Callithrix jacchus: one gene and its partners. The protein of the gene in region 2 interacts with the protein of the main gene of each other region in a pairwise test. Links are inferred from orthologs where the notes say so. Each region holds a gene or a part of one and is shown on either strand. Other genes may lie near its edges.

Region 1 (3,648 bases), on a different chromosome or scaffold from region 2:
AGTAGGATCTAAATTCCTTAAGTTCACTAAAAACTGTGAAAATTTCCGGCATATGATGTTTGAATATCAAACGCAGAGATTTCTGAAGCTTTAATGCCAATAGTTAGTGAGTCTGTTTAGATTCTTGTCTCCCGCTCATCTGTGAGTCGGGCGCTGAGCTGTGGCTGCTACTGCCAGATGCCGACTCTTGAGGGGGACGGTGGGAGGCGAGGTGGGCGCCGCCTCGGTCTCCCGGCCAGTCTTGCTGCCTGAGGTGCGCCGAGTACAGCGGGCTGCTCGCTCTTGTGCATCCAGCTGGTCCTCACACTCTGCCTGGGGACTGTGCGCCAGGGGGAAGGTCCGCCGTTCCCAGGGCTGGACAGACTGTAGGCAGACAAGTTGCTCTGTGAGGACCCAGTTGCAGCCAGCCTGCTTCCTGCTCCAAGGCTCTGCCATAAACCTTGTGGCCTGGAGCCTAGGACCAGTCTATTTGGAGTTCCCCAGGTAGTCTGGGAACACCCCTCATAGGGTGGGAACCTTTTTAACAATCATCAGTACAGTTCCACTGGACGTTGAGAGGTCAATTTAAGTGCAGCCCCTTGTCCCTTCAAAAGGGAGGAGGAGATGGCTTATGATGTAGATCCCTCTTCAGCAGGTGCTGTCCCTTCCTGGTTCCATCCCTAACCACGCCAACCCCACACAAAGGCTGTGTCCCTTACCTGTTCATCCAGCCCCAGCTCTGGCGTGGAACAACGGGTATCCTCACTGGCTAAGTGTCTCGGAGTGTCCCGAGCCATAGGCGTGAGGGGTGCAGAGTGCAGTTCCGGGCTAATGGGGCTCCTAGGGGACTGGCCATGGGCGTATTCCGACAAAGAGTGGCTACTGCTGACATCAGGGGAGGCAGGCTGTGGGGTGGAGGGGTTGGCACTGCCCAGCTGGGGGGTTGTCCGGCCGTCTGATGACCTGTAGGACCTATACATCAAGGAATGCAAATCTGAGTGCCTGGGAAATATGTTTATTTATGGGGGTAGAGGGCATGAAAAAAAGCATCCCCACAGGAGGGGCTGATGTGAACGAAGACTAACAGATTTTCCTTCGGATCCAGCAATTCCCATTCTTCCCACTACTCTCTGGAGGGGTAGGTATAAAACATCTACCATCCCAAGAAAAAACCATGGCTGAACAATGCCGGGGTGAGTCGCTATCAAAATGCCTACTGAATTCAGGAGGTAAGGAAGATTCGTATAGACTTTGAAAACTGTAGTCAAAGAAAAAAAAGTAAAAATAAGAGCCCCTAAAACGTTCTACTTGAGAATCCCGAGGGTTTCTGCCACTGTTAACAATAAATGGAGATTGGGTAGTGATGGACATAAGGGGGGCAGTTCCTTCAAGTGGCATCACAAAGCCACTGTCCAAAGGAAGGTTAACTTGTAGTGGGGCCTTCCAAGCTCCCCTGGTTGAATCACCATGACCCCTCAACTGCCTTCCAAATGGCACAGATCACGGGTATTTATCAGAATTGAACAGTGACTCCTCAGCAAGGATTTAGCACTTGGCTCCTTATACCTCCACTAGTTCCAACAAACACCAAGGAACTTCTGAGCACTTTCCCACTGCCAGTAGATGAATATGATGACCAACCAAGAGACAGCAGCAATTCCACAGACTCAGGTAGGGCCCCAACTCCCTGTCTACCCTCTCTCCACAGGCCCTGGGGACCCATGCCTGACCCATCACCTGCTGCCTCGCCGCTGGGGTGGCACACTCGTAGTCCACAGCCACCGTGCCCTCTCCATCTCCTCACATTTGGCATGTAGGGCGGCGAAGGCTGCGTCGGACAGGTCCTCAATCTGCAACGGAGAAACTTTATCAATCCCCTCTTTTCTCCTAGAGTTAAGAATCCCACCCCATTCAAGGCTCTTCCCAGTCAGGACAGGAATATAAGGAGCTTGCACTTGACACCCAAAGGTCTTGAGGTCATGCCATCTAGGGTGTGTGCACTCGTGTGTGTGTGTGCACACATGTGCGCATGTATACACGTGTTCTTCTAAGAGAAGGACCATGCCATTACCTCCTCATTCTCCTCATCAGGACTCCCCTTCAGAGACTGAAGATCAACCTCCCGCCAGCTGCAAAACCAAGAACGGACAATCATGAGATAGCAAGCAGGCTGCAACCCAGGGCAGGGTCAGAGTGTCCATGCAAGGATGAGAATCCTGCACCCACGTGACACTGCTCTCTGTTGGGCAGGCTCTGCCCTACCACAGCTCAGTCTCCTCACCCCTCAAGGCCTGTGAAATTGGCCACCTACTCAAATGCCTGCGAAGGCCAGAAGTTAAAGAAGCGGCCTGGGGTGGGCTGAGGCTAAGACACTGTGACAAACTCAAGAAAAGAAACCTGTTTAAAGGGGACCATCACTGTTCAGGACCAGCTGACTGCTCCCATATGAAAATGCATATCCAGGGCTGCCTCATTTTCTGTTCGGCAATAAAAGCTGGAAACACAGAGTTTTGTTTTGTTTTCAGACGGAGTTTCGCTCTTGTTACCCAGGCTGGAGTGCAATGGCGCGATCTCTGCTCACTGCAACCTCCGCCTCCTGGGTTCAGACAATTCTCCTGCCTCAGCCTCCTCAGTAGCTGGGATTACAGGCACGCGCCACCCATGCCCAGCTGATTTTTTGTATTTTTAGTAGAGACAGGGTTTCACCATGTTGACCAGGATGGTCTCCATCTCTCGACCTCATGATCCACCCATCTCGGCCTCCCAAAGTGCTGGGATTACAGGCGTGAGCCACCAGAGTTTTATGTGAAATCCTGCTTTGATGTTGACAACAAATTCAGTATTTTAAAACATACTGTATGTGTTGACAAAACCTGTCTCTAGACCAGTAAGTCAGTGGTCTACCAGGTTGTGACTGCTGGTTCGTTTGGTGTATACCTATAATGGAATGAGAGAGAACTATACACAGAAATAATTTCGCTCTTATCAGATAAAGAATTTCTCTTAATGAGAAAAGAGAACCAAAGACTAGGGCTCAAAGCTTGGTCAGAAGAGAAGAGGGAAAAGGCAATAGCAGGAAGAATGAGGAGAGGAGCCAACTATTCTGAGCTTCTACCTGGGAGTAAGGATTTCCTTGTATTGCAGTTTCTCTACGCGGGTTGTTGCAGCAACAGACATTGGGATGACAATGTTGTTAATATCGAATGAGCTCTCTCCCCTTCTCCTCCTTACTGGCTGCTGCTGTAAGATAAAAGTTAAGTTTAAAGGGAGGCACAATTTTATAGACATCAAATCATTCACCCAAGACTTAAAGCAGGATCACCAGTAACAAGGCATCTGGGTCCTTGGGTTAAAACTGAGTAGTGACCACAGCAGCTGCTCCCACCTAGGAGTCAGACTACAACAGCAAAAACCTCACAGAGAAATACTAGGAAGTTGTGAGGAGTTATTCCCATTCATAAGTCCCACTGGTCACCCTCTTCCTTCATGGACTCATGTGTAAAGAGACTGGTTAAATTTCACAGGTGGGGTTCCTACTCCATATATACCTCTGTTAACCCCCTCTCCTTTTAAAATCCTCGTTTCCCTCCTTTATCCCCATTTATGACTCAGACTCATAGTGGCCCTCCCTTAAAAGCAGTGCTTGAAATCTTATCCTGAAAGATGCCC
Region 2 (3,748 bases):
CAGCTAGTTGTTCCTAACAATCTCCCACAGCGGGAGAATGCAGCGTGGAGTAAGGTACCTGATGGAAGAGAGCCATGGAAAACAATTTTGTGTGAGTGCTTTAGTTCAGTTCAACAAATATTAAAATTGGGCTTCCAGTATGTAACAAGTATTATGCTAGATGCTGGAAATAACCTGAAAAAGGAACCTACCCCCTCTATTCCCTTAAAGATTTATGCTTCTTAAATACAAGAAAGAAAAATATTTAGTTATGATGATACAGATTGCTTAAATTATAGGGAAATATTGCAATGGCACAGTGGTTGCCTCATAAATCCTGGAGAAACTATCAAACTAGGCCATCAATCCTTATGGGGAAATCTGAAAACAGGTTTGTTAAAATGTATGACAGATTTGTCTTTTTGACCTAAAGAAGATGGTGCCGAACACTGCACGGCAACCACTAAGTAGCTTGGAGTCTATAGGCATAATAAGGTGAATTACTTTGGTTAAAGTGATTGCACGTTAATTTAAGAAATTATCTTCCTCCAAAAGAGGTGCTTATTATCCTTTTCTGAATTATTCAAGTCTAGATTCTTTTCTTCTGCCACGTTCGGTTAGCATGAACAAGCATCATGATCATTTAATATTCAACTAAATGAGATGTTAATTTTCACTGCAAGATTAGTGAAAGCATTTACACAAAATTACAGAAACTGAAGATGCCTGGAAAAATTCTTGAGGATTATTCAGTATTCAGCACAGTGGTTAAGAATGTTCTGGAGTCTTAAGGGGAACCCTAGCACTCCCCAACATTACTACCTCTATTGTGTTACCAGGAGAATTAAATGAGCAACTGTGTTATGGGCTTATCAGTGTTAGGCACATAAAAAGTGTTTCCCAACTGCTAGCTCCTATTAGTATGAAAAAAAGGGGGGCCCACTGGTCCCAAAGTGCGGGCCGCTCTACGATTGTTCTCTGGAGACACCACCGGCAGGCCTGTTTCTAAGTGAAAGCTGGCATGCAAACTGAAGTGACAGAGGTAGAAGGGCTCTTCTGCCGTTTCAATTGGCATCTGGTGAACTATGTCTAACAGCTTAACGCCCAATTGAAAAAAGCTGTAAACTAGGATGGAAAAGAAGAGATGGGGTTTGAGCAGTGACTACAATTCCGAGTGTGTGGTTCAAAAAACACTCCCTCCACACTTAGCTTTAGGCAAGCGACTTAACCATTTGAGCCTCCCCTTTCCCATCTGGAAAATGGGGTAACAAAAGTTACTTTCAGTGTAATTGGTTTGTTAGTATCTCAACGGATAAATGCTGGAGGGGATGGACTCCCCGTTTCCCATCATGTGCTTATTTCACAATGTGAGCCTGTATCCAAACATCTCATGTACCCCATAAATATATACACCTATTATGTACCCTCAAACATTAAAAAATAAATTTTTGAAAAGTTACTGCTTCCTGGAGTTCCGTTACGTGCGGAGCACACAGCTCCCGCTAGGCGCAAAACCACCACCACCTGCAGCGGCCGGCCCTCCGCGCTGGCCATGAAAGGCGCTGGGGTCGACAGGCTGCGAGGGGGCGGCTTCCCGGGTTCGGCCACTTACTGCGGGGCACCTGGTTCACCCGGGTCTGTCTTGGAGGAATGCAGCGAAGATTAAACCAGTTAATCCAGGGAAAGCGCTTAAAACGGTGCCTGGCGCGCCGCTGGCCCCCACGCGCCCTGGGGCCGATATTGAACTGCGTATTTGCAGGGCCGTGGGCCCCGCGCCGAGGCTTCCTGCGGGCGGGATCCGCAGGCACCGCCGGCCCCGCCGCCAGGTGCGCCCGAGCCCTTCCCGGCACCTGCATCCTCCACCGCCAGAGAAAGCAACTTTTTAACAGTTCCGCATCGGGAGCCTCCTGGGCCAGGCCGCCACCCGCCCGCCCGAGGGGCGCCCCCGCCCTCACCTTGCTGGAGGTCCTGGTGGTCGTACCACGGTTCGTCCTCCTTCATCTCAAACTCCTCCACCAGGTTTTCCGCCAGCATCTCCGCTGGGTCCTCCGGGGGCAGCGGCTCCCACCGCCGCCGTCCCACCTCAGCCGCTGCCCCGGGCTCTCCCCCGGTCCCTCCGCCCTCAGCCAGAGCCGCCCTCGGGTGGGACGCGCCGCCGCCCAGGCTCCGCCACTCCGCCTCAGCCCTGCTCCCGCCGGCGGCCGCTACCGACCGGCCGCCTCCTTGACTCGCGTCGCGCCACCCAACGGCCCCAACGGCCCCAACGGCTGGGCGTTCCGACGCGAGGGCCCCGAGCCGGCTCCTCACGCCGCCGCCGGGCCCAACGTGGCACTTTGGCAGAACCCTCCCCGGCTGGGGATGCGATTCAAACCCCCGGCGGCTCCTCAACCAATCGGGAGCGGGCCGCTGGCCGAGCGGCAGCGACTTCGCCCAATCGCGTCTCTCCAAAGGCGCGCGGCTCGCCCGGTCTCGAGGGCATGCAGCCAATGTCGGGCCCGGAATAAACAAAGAAGGCGGGGAAAGAGTGAAGGGGTGCGGCCGAAAGCCCGCCCCCTGATCTGCGCGGTGCGGCTCCTAGGAGCGTGTTCTGGGGTCTGGGCTGTGGAGCCCGCCGCGCCGCGTCCTACCCCTGCGGTGGGTGTCCCGAGGCCGGCGCGTCCGTGGATAGGCAACGAGGGCCTGAGGGTCTAGAATTCCGACCTCTGAGAGTTGAGCGGTTGTCCAGGGAAGTCCTTCGTGCCGGCGGGAGGCGCAAGGGTGCCAGAAGCGCTTGGTCCGCCGCCCGCTCGCCCCTCTCGCATCTTGACTCAGATTTGCTCCGAATCTGGCGGGGAGACTCGGGGTCGATCGGGAGTTTAGGGCTAAGAAAACGCCCATTGAGCGGTAGCTTTTGTCTCCTTGATATCTGAGCCCTGGGAATTGTTCTGACGCTCCCTAAAACGGTGGGTGCCAGACCCCCTTGAGAATTTGGGGCGGGGAGGGATGCCCGAAGCAGTCCACTTGGAAGGAAAAAATTGCAAGCAGTGTTGCATACGAGTTTTAAAAGGTACCCGTAGACCACAAGTTAAGCATCTGGGGACATGACATTGCACCTGGAGGGGACAGGCTGCAGCCCCAGCACTTGGTAGCCAGCGAGGCAGAGCACGCTGTCTGTCCTCCACCGACAAAACCCAGCAAATACTGCTCGTGGGTTAAGCTTTTAGCACCATCTTGCAGACAAAGCACGGAAACTCTTAAGCAGGATGACAGACCTGAAGGTCAATGTTCTCAACCTTGAAGTAAAGGCAAAGGTGCAGCCGATGGAAGACAGCAGAACCAGTATCTTGCTAAGTTTGAGCAACAAAACAACAACAAAAAAATCGAGGTTTAAGTATATAATTCAAAGATTAGAACATAAGGTAATAATTGTTAGAAGTGGAGAGGAGTGTTAGTTAAATCCTGATCTATTTTAGCAGTGAGTCGGCAGATAATACCTTACATTGATAATCCAACAAATCGTTTCCACAAATATGGAGAGAGCTGCCAGAACTGAAAATGGGAGCAATTAAGAGTTTCCCTAAGGGGAGGATTGAGTTGGGGCTGGGGACTTTTTGTTATAAACCCTCCTGTGATCTTACTTTTTTAGATACTTGCACAATTAAAAATAAGGGAAATTGTAGGGAAGGAATTGTAGACTCAAGGCTACTTTTGTCTTTCTGTGTAAAAGAATAAAGACGGGTAATTTGAAAGAGAGGGAAACGCATCCTAAATAATTCTTGTGGGTAACAAA
Region 3 (3,748 bases), on a different chromosome or scaffold from region 2:
AACCCAACAATCACAGGCTTCAAAGACCCCAACATAATACCGGGAGCAAGTCTCTCACTGCCATTGCTACAAATGGTGGCACAGAGACCTGTCAAGAGGGAAGACACGGGTGGGCCAATGGACGGAACTCTTGTTATCTTAAGTTGTTATGGAATCAACGGTTATGATTGAACATCCATTCAAAAACGAAGAAAAATTTCATTCTGAGTGCATACAGAACTTCTGAACAGAGGTCATCCTATACATGTGGTAAATGTACAAATATGACATATGAAGAAGTATGAAGTAATACAGTCATTATTAAACAACGAAGTATGTCAAATTAGTCATCAGGTTTCAAAGAATCATAGCCTTCTTTCAAGAGGTCCCGCCATGTTTTAAGGAAACGTGCATTTTCTGTACATTTGAAGGCAAGCTCTTCCACTTGAGCTGATACTGCAGATGTGGCTTCAAGGAGTTTGGTTAATGAAAAGGCTGCCTAAAATTAAAAAAAAAAAGTCAAACAAGTTTATTTTTTAAATTCTCATCTCATTTTACAAGTAGTCTCAAAATAGCTTAAGGCCTTGAATCCAATGCCCCTGTTTTCTTTAAAAGTAATCAATTTTCAAACTAAAGCATTGGCTCTTCAATATTTCTTAGGTTCCCTGAAAGAGCCAATGCTTTAGTTTGAAAATTGAGTAGGCTTTGAGGAAACAGGTCTGCTAGAAAAATATTCACTATGTATGAGACATGACAAGTCAGTATTGTTGTTTTCTGTGAAAATACACTAGTCTCAGTTCAACAAGATGACTTGGACCCCTTCACACTAAGTGTCAGAAGTATCTGAAGGAATTCATCATAAATAATTCTTACTGCTATGTGGGTAACATGGGCATTGACCTGTGAACGCTTTAAACAATGAAAATGTATAGATCAAAGAACAGAAACTCTGAGCTCTGACAAACAACATCAACGAAATCACACACGAATGCAGAAAACACTCAGCTCCTGGTGGAAATTTCACTTTTTAGGCAAATATTTTCTTTGCTGATGATATAAAATAAAACGTTTTTCCTAAATAACACATTAGCACTTCATTCTACATATTTCTTTGTAGAATATTCAAAGAATATATAAGAAAATTCTACATATTTACTTACAATCAGTTTGTTCTGCAAAAATAAAGGCTGAATATGCACTTTAGTCATCCTTAAAAAAATACATGCGCAGCAATGAGATAGTCGAGGTCATCCCGCAGTTTCCAATCCTTAAGAAAGGTCATGCCACAGAGCTCTCCCAGAAGGTTACAGCCTACATACCTCATTCCACTTGACCCACTCGAGAGACCATAAAACTGTGACTTCCCTTCTCCCCCTCCCTATCTTGTGTGAGTTAGGGGTGGGAGGTGGGGTGCTAGTTTCTGGGGACTCGAGATTTAACAGAAACTATCCTTACTAAGTATGCATTCTACAAAGGGAGGAGTGCTAGCAATCATACAAAGGAAGGAGTGCTGAACTAAACCCTTAATGAAGCCAATCCACGTGACCTAAACCCTTCAAGCTGGGTCCACCGCTAAGCAGGCCTGAGGCAGACAATGGCATTATCATCTGTCCCTGGGCAGGTGGCCAACTAGAACAGCGGGCTCTAAGTCCCATGGAAAAAAATCACAGTCTGAACCTAAACACTCGCAGGCAGCAAGCAAACCCATGCAGTGAAAACTATTCTCTGATGGGAGGGGAGGAGGCAAAAAGCCAGCACTGGGCGGCGCAGAGCTGCATGGCTTCGGGTTACTGCGGATGATTGAAACCAGAAGGCGAGACAAAAAGAGACCAGTTAGAAGTGGGGCGGGTGGATGGATAACCCTTAAGACTCCTCACCGCTAAATCTAAAGGGGAACACTCAGAAAGGGTTTAGCTGCTGGCATCTCCCACTCCCCGCTTCCCGCCCGCAAGCTCTCGGGTGCAGAAGGGCCGGTCGTCCCCGGTCGTGGGGTTGGGGGACCGACTCCCTGGCCTCGCGGGCCCAGCCGCCGCCAGTCTTCCCAGAGGCGCCGAGGAGGGACGCAGTCCCAACTACACACTCACGTCTCCGATTTGCAGCTCCACTTCCTCCAGCGGGTCAACCTTTCGGCCGCTGCTCCCGCTCGGAACTGGCCAGCTCAAACTCACTGGGCCGCCGGGGAAAGATGCTGCAGAGGCGTCTGCAGAGGAGGGAGAAGAAGGAGGAGGCGGGGGAGGCGAAGAAACCTGCAGCTCCACAGGGTCGGCCATGGGGGAGGACTGAGACCGCGGAATCCAATCGAGCACCCGAACCGACACCAACTGTCTTTTAACCGCTCGCGCCCAAAGCCAAGTGGCCCCGCCTCCTAGCGCCCGAAATCCCGCCCCGTCTCCTCACGGGTCTCAGCCCTGGATCACAAAGACTTTTCATTTTTCGGGACAGCCAATCAGATGACATCTATCCACCTTAGGCAGCTCAAGGCTACTGCGCGAGCCTCTAGTAGGGCTGGAAGGGCGCGCGTGCAGAAGACTACCCCTCCCAGGAAGCTGTGCGCGTCGCCCCGCCTTCCACTGTCTTTCACTGCGCGTGCGTTGTCCTGTGGGATTCGTGAACCTCTCTAGCCGCGCTCTGGCTGGCACCGCGCCCCGGCTGGGTCTTGGAGTCCCTAATTTCCCTGGTTTGGTACATGACCCGGAAGCCTCGGCTGTCCGCCGCGTCATGCATGGCGCCGGCGCAGAGTGAGAAGGAGGCGGGAACGCCGCGAAGCAAGAGCTGTCGGCAGAGCTGGGTAGACGAACTGCGGTCGAGTTCTTGCTTCCCGGCAGGTGATGGCGCCCCCCGCGGCCTAGAGGTCCAACGCCCGCCGCGAGCAGCGGAGATTCCTCCTGTTCTGTCCGACCGAGAATCCTGGTGACTTTGAACATGCTGGTGCCGCTAGCCAAGCTGTCCTGCCCGGGTGAGAGGGAACGTAAGGTGGGGATAAGTGGAGGAATTAGGGCAAAAGCGACAAGGCCGGTCCTGGGGGCTGTAGGCACCTCTCACCTCTCACCTCTTCTCTCATCTGCTTTCTGAGGCTATCTGGGGCAAAGGTCACGCTCTGTGAGCCGGGTGGTGGACCCTGGCTGCTTCTCTCTGGGGTTGCCTCAGTTGGAAAAAATAATATCTAGGCTAAAGGTCAAGGGCGGAGAAAACTTGTCAACACACCCCACCCACCACCACCGGTCAACAAACACACATCTCGGTGGACTCCTGAACTAAGGCTTCCCGAATCATGGTTCTAATCCTCAAAGCTTTGTTTTAAATGGGGGGGGAAAAAAAGTTGTATTTGCCTAGTTTTTATCCTTGGTCCTGACCTGACTTTCGTCTTCGCAGCCATCCTGGTTCAGTCTAAAGAAATTGAAGTCTTATCTGTCACATCATGGTTAACATTCATATGTTAACCAAGTCACCTGAGTGTATCTGGAGCCAGGAGTTTTCTGCCTTGTCTAAAATTAACTATAAAGGCCAGTCGCGGTGGCTCATGCCTGTAATCCCAGCGCTTTGGGAGATCGAGGCCGGTGGATCACCCGAGGTCCAGATTTCAAGGCCAGCCTGACCAACATAGTGAAACCCCATCTCTACTAAAAATACAAAACTTAGCTGAGTGTGATGCCGCATGCTTGTAATCCCAGCTACTCAGGAGGCTTAGGCAGGAGACTCAGGTGAACCCGGGAGGTAGAGGTTGCAGCGAGCTGAGATCACACCACTGCACTCCAGCCTGGGTGACAGA

The links.
Region 1: the proteins of CDR2 (region 2) and KANSL1 interact in binary tests that used the Homo sapiens proteins (3 or more experiments, as listed by UniProt). The two-hybrid records come from large-scale screens. The link is inferred for Callithrix jacchus from reciprocal best matches to the Homo sapiens genes CDR2 and KANSL1.
Region 3: the proteins of CDR2 (region 2) and C3H4orf46 interact in binary tests that used the Homo sapiens proteins (3 or more experiments, as listed by UniProt). The two-hybrid records come from large-scale screens. The link is inferred for Callithrix jacchus from reciprocal best matches to the Homo sapiens genes CDR2 and C4orf46.

The regions. Positions count from the first base shown.
Region 1 is NC_133506.1:86,771,380-86,775,027, forward strand, and holds part of KANSL1 (KAT8 regulatory NSL complex subunit 1), read right to left. Parts: intron 3,220-3,648; coding exon 3,095-3,219; intron 2,109-3,094; coding exon 2,051-2,108; intron 1,830-2,050; coding exon 1,717-1,829; intron 952-1,716; coding exon 699-951; intron 364-698; coding exon 136-363; 3' UTR 1-135. UniProt on the Homo sapiens protein: Non-catalytic component of the NSL histone acetyltransferase complex, a multiprotein complex that mediates histone H4 acetylation at 'Lys-5'- and 'Lys-8' (H4K5ac and H4K8ac) at transcription start sites and promotes transcription initiation.
Region 2 is NC_133513.1:22,965,914-22,969,661, forward strand, and holds the start of CDR2 (cerebellar degeneration-related protein 2), read right to left. Parts: upstream 2,318-3,748; 5' UTR 2,014-2,317; coding exon 1,935-2,013; intron 1-1,934.
Region 3 is NC_133504.1:37,670,863-37,674,610, reverse strand, and holds the start of C3H4orf46 (renal cancer differentiation gene 1 protein), read right to left. Parts: upstream 2,466-3,748; 5' UTR 2,250-2,465; coding exon 2,064-2,249; intron 479-2,063; coding exon 323-478; 3' UTR 1-322. Other genes in the region: ETFDH (electron transfer flavoprotein-ubiquinone oxidoreductase, mitochondrial), read left to right, coding at 2,902-2,935.